3 linked regions of the Macaca fascicularis genome follow. The protein of the gene in region 3 interacts with the protein of the main gene of each other region in a pairwise test. Links are inferred from orthologs where the notes say so. Each region holds a gene or a part of one and is shown on either strand. Other genes may lie near its edges.

Region 1 (3,518 bases), on a different chromosome or scaffold from region 3:
TCCCTGACAGCAAGAGACCATGACAAAATCATCTCTGCATCCTTCACAGCCACAAACAGAGTATCTTTACATAATGAACAGTTAGGAAGTACTTGCTGCAGGAATAAATGGATAATATGCGTACTTAATCCAAAAAGCCAAACTAAGCTGGGTGCAGTGGTATGTGCCTATAATCCCTGCTACTTGGAGGCTGAGGTGGGAGGACTGCTTGAGCCCAGGAGTTTGAGTCTAGCCTGGGCAACATAGCAAGGCCCCCATCTCTTTAATAAAGAAAGACTGCTATATAGCTTGGGTGGTGGGCAGTCCTCATTGTCACCGCCATATATCTTGTAGGTTTTTAGAACCCTGGAATCCATTTCTCATGGGTGACTGCGGTCCTATTATTCCAGCTTGGACTACATGGTCCACAGGTGACAGAGAAATCTTGGCCCTCTGGCTCCATCTCCAGGACCTCTGGCTCTGTGCTGTGCTGTGTGCGACCGGGTCCCGCTTGAAGATGAAGGCAGTGCAGTTGACTGTGGGAGCCTCTGCAGCCCCAGCCTGAAGCCTGCATGGGACCCTGTGTGGTGCTAACAGTTTTTTTTAAAGGAAGACTGCTATTTTCTCAAAGAGAGGGGACGTCACTATCTTGCCCAGGATGATCTCGAACTCCTAGATTCAAGCAATCCTCCCAACTTGGCCTCCCAAAGTGCTGGGATTACAGGTCTAGGTTTTCCTAAATCTGCTTTTCTGGTAGAGAAACCCTGAGGACTGATTGGCTTTTGATTGTCTAAAACCATGGCCTGCGAATTCGTAACATTCAGGGACATGGCCATAGACTTCTCTCATCAGGAGTGGGAATACCTTGACCTGGTTCAGAAGACCTTGTACCAGGAGGTGACAGTGAAGAACTATGGTAACTTGGTCTCAATGGGGTCTCACTCACACTGAGGCTGGAGTGCAGTGTCGCAATCACAGCTCACTGCAACCTTGACCTCCATGGCTCAAGCAATCCTCCTGCCTCAGCCTCCAGAGTAGCTGGGATTACAGATTTGAATTCAAGGAGTGAAATAATCAGAGACGGAAAAATGTACATTTATAGGAGCCACACATTTGTTACGCCACATCAGAGAATTCATTCTAGTGAGAAAACCGATCAACATGAAAAGTTTTTGAAGGTTAAAAAAAAAAAAAAAGGCCAAAACAGTTTCTTCAAACTTATTTCTCAATAATAAAGATGATTTTTAAAATATACCTTTTAAATTCTCTAAAAGTCTGGCAAAACCTGAAACTTTTCTATAGTCTTATAACAGTAATGCATTTTTCTATTAAAATTGGTTAAAACGGTAGACATAATATCCATTATATTATTCACAACAAAGAAATAAGTTTGTGTAGCATTTCTTCAGCTTATGGATGTAGTCAAGCCCTTTCATTAAATTGTTTGCTTTTTCATATTTTTGTGTTCTACAAAAATGTTACGTACTTTAACAAATGATAAACAATATTTTAGGATGACTAATTATAAAGTTACTTGAAATTCAAATACCTGAGTTCTTTAAAAAGTTCAACATTCTGGTGAGTCATCAAATTGTTTAGAAGCCATTCAAGGCACCTGAAATTAAAACATATAATTATTATATTATATACCATGTATTTACAATTTATTAAGTAGGACTTATAGTTAAAATCAGAATATTAATCTTGCCAGAACATGCTCAAAACTTTTAACTTAACAATAGGAAATTTAGTATTATTTTTGTCAGTGGATATTATTAAGAGAATATTTCCTTTATATTAATGAGAGCATTTCTAGTTTTAAAACTTCATTTTGAGTTTGTGTTAAATAGTTTATCAAGGGGTCTGCATAGTACTATAACCTTTAAAATCTCAAAACAGGTACTGCAACTTTCAAGAGTTAGAAGGACTGTCAGTCATTGCAATGATATAATGTCTATCAGGCCTACTTCTTAAACAATTTTAATAGAAAATATACTATAAAGTGCAGTGGCATGATCACAGCTCACTGCAGTCTTGAACCTCCTGGGCTCAAAGAATCCTCTGACCTCAGCCTCCAGAATGGCTGGGACCACAGGTGCATGCCACCATGCCTGGCTAATTTTTTAAATTTTTTGTAGAGATGGGGTCTCCCTATGTTGCTCAGGCTGGTCATGATCTCCTGGGCTTAAGTGATCCTTCTGCCTTGGCCTCCCAAATCACTGGGATTACAGGTGTTAGCTACTACACCTGACCAAGAGTGACCAAGGTTTTTATAAGCATATATATAACCCATATGGTCACTGACAAAGGCAATACTTTTGAGGAATTTACTAATTAGTCCAAAAGTTAAAATGGGCTTTTTATTTAACAAAATTCCATTCCCCTATCCTAATTTTCCTTAATTCTTTCCTTCTTATAGCTATACATTCTCTTAAGAAACTAAAGCAACCAAATTCCTAAAGTGGGATAGGAAGAAAAATGAGAAAGGTAACTCACTTTTTCTTTACAGAATCTAATCCATAGGTCCCTGCTGATGTGTAATAGCCACATACAGTTTTCACATTAATTGTTTCCTTCATTGTCTCACCACACTGCTGTATTAAACCGTCCTGTAAATATAAATAAGCACTGGAAAGGCCCATTTCACGTGGGAAAAATTAGCTCTGATATGTGCTTTTACATATTAAAAAGGAAAAAAAAAAGAAGAAAGAAAAGAAAGAAAACTCATTAAGTGCAGCAAACCTAAGTTTTGTGTTTTTTTTTAAACAAGTCCAATAAAAATACTGAAAAAAATTCAGCAAGTATTCAACTAAATACTTGGAATTTGAAAATGGAAGGTGGGGGGAGCAGTCAGGTAGAGATGAATACTGCTATTCTTTTTCTTTTCTATTCTTCCCTCTCTGAGACCTTTGCAAATTTCTTTAGCAGCATTTTGTCTGTTTTGCCATTTCTTTTTAAATTAAGAAGTCTACATAGTCAGTTAACCATGTCATGGGCCTAAACAAATAGTATGCATTAGCAGAAAGTAATTATTAAGTTTAAAATAACTACAATATCTAAGAGACACACCTAAAACAAGTATATTGTTATTTTAAATTATGAACATTAAAGTTTTAACCTAAAATGTTTATATAGGTTTTAAGCGAACTAACTTTAATATATGGAAAGAATACTATTTTCGTTCAAATTTCTGAAATATATTCATCATGCAGGTATATTAAGTTAAAGAGTTAGTAAATCATAAAAGTAACGCCGAAAGTGAATTTAGAACAAAATCAAAAGGACCAGAGTTAGAAAATAAAGTATACTTATTGGAAATAAGTATTGAAAGGATCAAAACATTTTGAAAATCAAATGATCTCAACCAAGGATATTTAGCAAGCTATTAACTAATATTTCAAATGAATCAGTACAAAAATACCACACAAAAGTTAAACAATTTTTTAAGATTAAAATAAAACATTGACTCCATTAGGATTTTCAACTTACCTGGAAATCATTCTAGACTCCTCCCCTTTCCTCTTAACACTTAGTCTGTC
Region 2 (3,518 bases), on a different chromosome or scaffold from region 3:
CCCAGCCTAATTTTTGTATTTTTAGTAGAGACGGGGTTTCGCCATGTTGGCCTGGCTGGTCTCGAACTCGTAGCCTCAACTGATCTGCCCATCTTGGCTTTCCAAAGTGCTGGGATTACAAGCATGAGCCACTGTGCCCAGCTATATATATTTTTGTGTTTGACACAGGTTCTCACTGTATCACTCAGGCTGAAGTGAGTGCCTTGCTGTGGTCACGGCTCGCCACAGCCTTAACCTCCTGGACTCTAGTGATTCTCCCACCTCAGCCTCCCATGTAGCTTGGGACCACAGGCATACACCACCATGCCCAGCTAATTTTTTTATTTTTAGTAAAGACAAGGTCTAACTTTGTTGCCCAGGCTGGTCTCGAACTCCTGGGTTTAAGCAGTCCTCCTGCCTCAACCTTCCAAAATGCTGGGATTACAGGCATGAGCCACCGCACCTGGCCCCCTCATTAATTTTCTAAGGTTAAACTATTCTTGTAGTCTTGAGCTAAATTCTAATAAGTTGTGTTGGCTTAGGGGTTTTTTGTTTCGGGTTTTTTTTTTTTTGGTAGTTTTTATATCGCTGGGATAAATTTGCTCTTATGTTATTTAATATTTTTGTATTTGTGTTTGTAAGTGAAATCCACCTAAAGTTTTCCTTTGAACTGTCCAATTTGGTTATCAAGGTTATACTCATAAAATAAGTTGGTTAGTTTTCACTGTCTCTCTTTGTTCACTAGAATTGTTTATATTTGTAGGCTGGGTGCTATGACTCACGCCTGTAATCCCAGCACTTTGGGAGGCCGAGGTGGGCGGATCTTGAGGTCAGGAGATGGAAACCATCCTGGCTAACACGATGAAACTCCATCTCTACTAAAAATACAAATAATTAGCTGGGCATGGTGTAGCGCATGCCTTTAGTCCGAGCTACTCAGGAGGCTGAGGCAGGAGAATTACTTGAACCCAGGAGGCGGAGGTTGCAGTGAGCCGAGATCATACCACTGCACTCCAGCCTAGGCGACAGAGTGAGACTCCGTCTCAAAAAAAAAAAAAAAAAAAGAATTGTATTTATAACAGATTACCTACTCTTGCAGGTTTGATAACACATAAGGTAAAGGAAAAGAAGGTAGAAATAAGTAAGATTAGAATATTGAGTCATGTGGTAATATGTTATAAAGGCTGCCGTGGAAATCCCAGAGGGAACTACAAGAATGCCTGAGCAGCATTTTAGTTTTATGTTCCTGCAGAAATCATCCTTACTATGTGGTGGGCACTGTTACAAATAATTTGTTTAAGGGTATAGTTGAGGTGGGATGCCATGAATTTGTGATGGATGCAGTCTGCCTTTTTGCGGGGGACTTTTTTCTACTGTTTCACTGCCTGCCTTCCTCCACTTCATTGTACTCAAGGTAAGCCTCATTATCATCAGTGTTGGCTTTCACAAGGAGGCAGTCTCGTGACTTGGCCTTTGTAGGAAAACACTATTAGATGAATAGATGGTTGGGTAGTGGCTCTTTCTTCTCCTGCTTAGACTCTTGTCTACTATGAATAAAGGGCTCTATTTGCAAAGGCCATAATGGGATGAAGCACATTGAGAAACAGGCTACTGAAACATAGTTATTTTTCTCACCCAGGTGAGATTTCAATGGAAAAAGTGAAGGTAAAGCGTTATGTGTCCGGAAAGAGGCCAGACTATGCCCCTATGGAGTCCTCAGATGAGGAAGATGAAGAATTTCAGTTCATTAAGAAAGCCAAAGAACAAGAAGCAGAGCCTGAGGAACAGGAGGAGGATTCATCTAGTGACCCCCGGCTACGGCGTTTACAGAACCGTATTAGTGAAGATGTGGAAGAGAGGTAATGTCTGTGATTGTGTTTTACTTGAACATGAACCTCTACAGCTTAATAATAATAGCTAATACTTGAATAGTACTGCCAAGTAGCTGACATTTGCTAATTGTTGTAATCCATACAATAGCTTTATGAAATAGGTGCTATTATCCCCATTTCACAAAAGAGGAAACTAAGAGCACAAAGGGGCTAAGAAAGTTACATGACCAAAGTTACAAAGTGGCAGCTTCAGAAAACAGCAGGTTACTTCTGGCCTAAAGGACCTACTCAACTCCTTACGGGAATAGAAAACACAGACCATTCGTTGGCTGTTGAGGGGAGTCTTTTTAGCACAAAGATGTTTTATAAACTTTGGTAAATTGATTTTATACATCTGCTTATTCTAAATGCTAATAAGGGGAAATGACACTGAAGCAGGAGAAAAGACCTCATAAAGGTCTCATTGTAGAAAGTCTCCCAGTGAGGGATTTTGTATGTTATATACTGATTGAGACATTACCTTAATAGAGCAGACCAGGGGTCCTGAACTTTCACCGTTCATAATTGTCCCAGGGGTTTTTTCACAGAGCTCCTGGGCCAAAACAGTTCTGTTTATTTTAGTTAGTAAGTAGTTAGAGCCAAGTAACTTAATAAGTATTTATGTCCTAATAACTTTGCCACTTGAAAATTACAGTGCCCATGGCCGGGCGCAGTGGCTCACACCTGTAATCGTAGCACTTTGGGAGGCCGAGGCAGGTGGATCACGAGGTCAGGAGTTCAAGACCAGCCTGGCCAACTTGGTGAAACCCCATCTCAACTAAAAATACAAAAAAATTAGCCAGGCATGGCAGTGGGCACCTGTAATCCCAGCTACTTTGGGAGACTGAGGCAGAGAATTGCTTGAACTTGGCAGGCGGAGGTTGCAGTGAGCCGAGATCATGCCACTGCACTCCAGCCTGAGTGACAGAGTGAGACTCCGTCTCAAAAAAGAAAAAAGAAAAAATAAATAAAATTACAGTGCCCATGGGGAAAAAAACACTTTTATTCATTCTCACATAACCACAGTTACTAGTGGAATTTGTGTGCCTATTGGACACTGACAGCCTTGCAGACCTTGGAATCAGCACTGTCACTTTTTCATGTCTTGTTTTATATTGATATTCACACTGTACTTTTTACCACAGCAGCCACCAAAACCCAATTTCACGAAGATACGATATTCTCAAAAGGAATGTAATATGACTTAATGTTGAAACTGAATTACCTTGAGCTATTGAAAATATCCCAATGCAGGCCACGCTCGGTGGCTCACGCCTGTAATCCCAGCACTTTGGGAGGCCAAGGCAGGCGATCACCTGAGGTCAGGAGTTCAAGACTAGCCTGGCCAACATGACGAAACCCCCTCTCTAGTAAAAATACAAAAATTAGCCGGGTGTGGTGGTGCACGCCTGTAATCCCAGCTACTCAAGAGGCTGAGGCAGGGAGAATCGCTTGAACCTGGGAGGGGGAGGTTGTGGTGAGCCGAGATCACGCCATTGCTCTCCAGCCTGGGTAACAGAGTGAGATTCTGTCTCAAAAAAAAATCCCAATGCATCCCTATGAGTTTGCTGGCTTGCTGTGGTGCCTTAGGATGCCTCAACATACGTTTAGTATTTCAGGCCAAACTTGGCTATTTGCTCTGACATCCTAGTCTAGTTCCTTTAATCT
Region 3 (3,518 bases):
TGCAGGCAACTGCACCTCTATTTCCCCACCATTAAAATGGTATCGCCCTGCCAGGACTACCCTGAGACTCATTGTCCAGCACTGGGGTGAGGGGCCTGGCCCAGACCCCACATAGGCCAGCTGACGGCCAGATGCATGCCTGGCCCTGTGGGGCCACCTGGGAGGGGTGCTGGAAATGAATGACCCCACCACTGCCCAGAAAGGGGCTCAATCTCAGGGAGGCTGAGGCCTGGGCTCTGTGGGTGGTGGAGAGGAGGCACAGGGAGGAGTGGACCAGTGTCCTGGGGCAGGAGGGGTGGGCCGGCCTTTCTAGAAGGAAACCTGGAGTCCCTACCTGGGCCCTCGAGGCCCTGGGAGCCTGGCCCTCGCCCTTCTTCTGACAGTATCTCTCACCCTCTCTTTATTCCTGCCACAGGGGCCTCCTGGTCAGGCCTCAGGTGCCCCTGGCATGCTCTGGCCTCTTGGCCTTGGCCCTGCAGCTCCCTCTGCCCTGGGTGCTCCTCTGACCTCCCCGTGGTCGGCTCTGTCATCTCCCTCAGGGAGGCTGCTCCTTCGCCCAGCACCCCCAAACGCCCTGTCCCTCCCCCTAGTCAGTTCCACATCCCTGGCTTTATTTTTCTCCCTGGCCTGACAGGACACTTGCTGATTTATGTGGACTGTGTTGCCTCCCCACAGCCAGGTTGGCCCTGTGGGGAGGGCCCCCTGTGGAGGCAGGGACTGTTTGGGTCAAAGCTGTACCTGGCACAATGCCCGATATGCCTCAGGCATCAGCAGATACGCTTGAGGACGAACGCTGATGTTTCTGGTGGTCAACTCAACTCTAAGCAATCCCAAAGCAGAACAGGGAGCCCAGGGGATGCTGCACACACCCCCTTCCTCCTCCCACCTGGCCTGGCCTGCCCCCCACTAACTAGTCTCACTAGTTCCAGAATTGAGGGAACAGCAGAGTCCAGATGGGAAATAGAGGGCCGCCATGACAGGCTCCCTGCCCAGCAGGCCTGGCCAGCCCTTTCCCCTGCCCAGATGCCGTACCACCTGGCCTCCTTCTGACCTAGGGAATCCCACAGCACCCCCTCAAGAGTCAGGGCTAGCTTTCCACTGCCCTCTGCCCACAGTCAAGATCCTTCCTCATCTCAATGCCCCCCTCCCTGGCCAGCCACCTGCTCCACCACACCTGGGAGGGCGCCGGTGACAGGCAGGGAGAGGAAGCCTTGGCCTGGCCCCAGGGGCCACCAGCAAGAGCTGGGCTCCCCACCACAGCCTTCGCATGCCAGTCTTGCCCTGGGATCTCCTTGAGGACTGAGACCAACCACTCATCCCAGATCCCCCAGGCCCGGCCAAGGCAGCCATAAAGCAGGGGCGTGCAGTGCACAGTCAAGGTGAAATGCAGCCCCGGTCCTGAGAGAGGTGGGTGGCCTGCCCTGGACTCTGTCCCCAGGCCAAGATCCCTGTGATGACAGACCCCCCTTGCCTCTTCCCCAGTCCTGCTGGGCCCATTGTGGGTACCGTTGGGCAAGGGGGCCCCCTCTTAAGGCCTGGTGCCTTGGGGCTAACACAGATAACTACAGCCTCTGCTCCTGAGTTGTGAGGACCAAATGAGGCAAAACACACACTGCACAAAACCCCAAGACCAATGAAGGAGCCCGCATTCCCTTCATACCTCACTGTGAACCCCCACCCCGTGGGGCAGCACCCACCTCCATCGTGTATGTCTTGCCGGCACCCGTCTGGCCGTACGCAAAGATGCAGACATTGAAGCCATCGATGCAAGAGGTGATCAGGGCCTGCACCTCCTGGAACACCTGGGAAGATGGTGGCAGGGAGGCTGGTGGGGGGCTTCCAGGGCCACTGGGACCACCAGCTACAAGTCCAGCCACCTCCCCAACCATGCTGTCCTTCAGCAACACCACAGCACGTGTTACTGCAGTCACTCAGCTCACAATGATTCGTGATTCGTGAGTCATATGTTAGACATCAGTGGGCAACTGGGCCGCCCAAAGACTGCAGGGAAGACAGGCTGGTGCCTGCTGCCCTTCCCCCAGCTCCTCCTGCTCTCTCTCAAAGAGCGCTCAGCACAAGGAAGGCAGAGGCCAGCACATGCCTGGGGACTCTCTGGCCTGGGCCTGCCTGCCAGCCATCAGCGGATGGGGGCAAAGACAGAACCAGACATGAGAACAGGAGGGCACAGGCCTTGGTAGGGCTAGCAGGTTGGTCTGGGCAGAGACAAGGGAAGAGTGGACACTGAGAACACATGGTTCTCATACAGCCTCTGGGGGTCGGGGGATTCCTAGGAAGGCCCAGGGGACTGATACAGGAGGGTACTCCCAGATGGAGAAGATGGGCAGGGTCATGAAGACAGATGGGGCCATGTGGGTGGGCAGTCACAGCCATGAGGGTGGGAGGGGCTGTGATAGTGGGAGGGGCCTGAAGGTGGGTGAGGCCACATGGTGGGAGGGGCCTGAGTGTGGGTGGGGCCATGCAGATGGAGGGGCCACAGCATGAGGGTGGGATGGGCTGTGATGGAAGGAGGGGCCTTGAGAGTGGGCAGGGCCATGCAGTAGAAGGAGCCACGTGGATGGGAGGACCCAAAGCCATGGCGGTGGGAGAGGCTGTGGGTGGGGCCATGTGGTGGAAGGGACTGGATATAGGAGGGGCCACATGGTGGGAGGAGCCATAGCTGAGAGAATGGAATGGGTTATGATAGTGGGATGGGCCTTAAGGGTGGGCGGGGCCACATGGTAGAAGGGGCCTTGGGGATGGAAGGAACCACAGCCATGGGAGGGGATGGGCTGTTTCTGGATCTCTCCTTCCAAAGGAGGCTTCTAAGGCCTTCAGTCTTAACTTCCCACCCTCTTCTGTCCTCCAGAGGAAGGTGCGGGACCCTGGCTCCCCACTTCTGATTCCTGTACCCCCCACTCTTATGCTTCTTCCTGCCCAGCCCCTCTCCCTCCCTGTGAGTCCGTCTTTCCCTCTCTCCATTGCTTTCCCTTTCCCGCATGGGGCCACACTCACGTCCTGCTGCGAGGCCTGTGGGGAGAACACCTTGTCCAGCTCGAAGGACACAGGCTTTCCCTTGTGCAGCAGGTGGATGATGGAGTCATCGTCGGCATCGAAAGTCACAGCATTGGTGGCCTCAGGTCCTTCCCCATCCTCTTTGGTGACTGGCCGGACACGAGCAATCACTCGGATGTTCCCTGGGTTGGTTGCGGATGGGGAAATGGGCCCAGGCCATGTCAAGACCAGTCTCCACTCTGGTCCACTGGTGTCCCAGGCAGACCAGTTGGCCTAGGAGTCCCCTGACTTTTAAGCACAGCCCCCTAGGGGAAGGGGGCCCACAAAGCTGTTATCCATCATTCACACTATAGTATGCATTCACTTAGTACATTTCTTCTTGAACAGACCAGCTGACTGGGGTGGAGCTCTGCCTTGGGGATGGGGAGGAAAGATCAGCTGTGGGGCTCAGGCACTGCACCCAGTCAGGATGAGACGCCAGAACGGATACTCTCTTTTCCTCCCTG

The links. The genes of interacting proteins can lie anywhere in the genome.
Region 1: the proteins of KIFC3 (region 3) and GMCL1 interact in binary tests that used the Homo sapiens proteins (3 or more experiments, as listed by UniProt). The two-hybrid records come from large-scale screens. The link is inferred for Macaca fascicularis from reciprocal best matches to the Homo sapiens genes KIFC3 and GMCL1.
Region 2: the proteins of KIFC3 (region 3) and MFAP1 interact in binary tests that used the Homo sapiens proteins (3 or more experiments, as listed by UniProt). The two-hybrid records come from large-scale screens. The link is inferred for Macaca fascicularis from reciprocal best matches to the Homo sapiens genes KIFC3 and MFAP1.

Annotation. Positions count from the first base shown.
Region 1 is NC_088387.1:52,099,678-52,103,195, forward strand, and holds part of GMCL1 (germ cell-less protein-like 1), read right to left. Parts: intron 2,653-3,518; exon of another isoform or gene 2,622-2,652; coding exon of another isoform or gene 2,589-2,621; coding exon 2,476-2,588; intron 1,595-2,475; coding exon 1,529-1,594; intron 1-1,528. UniProt on the Homo sapiens protein: Possible function in spermatogenesis. Enhances the degradation of MDM2 and increases the amount of p53 probably by modulating the nucleocytoplasmic transport.
Region 2 is NC_088381.1:20,401,583-20,405,100, reverse strand, and holds part of MFAP1 (microfibrillar-associated protein 1), read left to right. Parts: intron 1-1,618; coding exon 1,619-1,838; intron 1,839-3,518. UniProt on the Homo sapiens protein: Involved in pre-mRNA splicing as a component of the spliceosome.
Region 3 is NC_088394.1:53,868,187-53,871,704, forward strand, and holds part of KIFC3 (kinesin-like protein KIFC3), read right to left. Parts: intron 3,195-3,518; coding exon 3,013-3,194; intron 1,803-3,012; coding exon 1,698-1,802; intron 57-1,697; exon of another isoform or gene 1-56. UniProt on the Homo sapiens protein: Minus-end microtubule-dependent motor protein. Involved in apically targeted transport. Required for zonula adherens maintenance.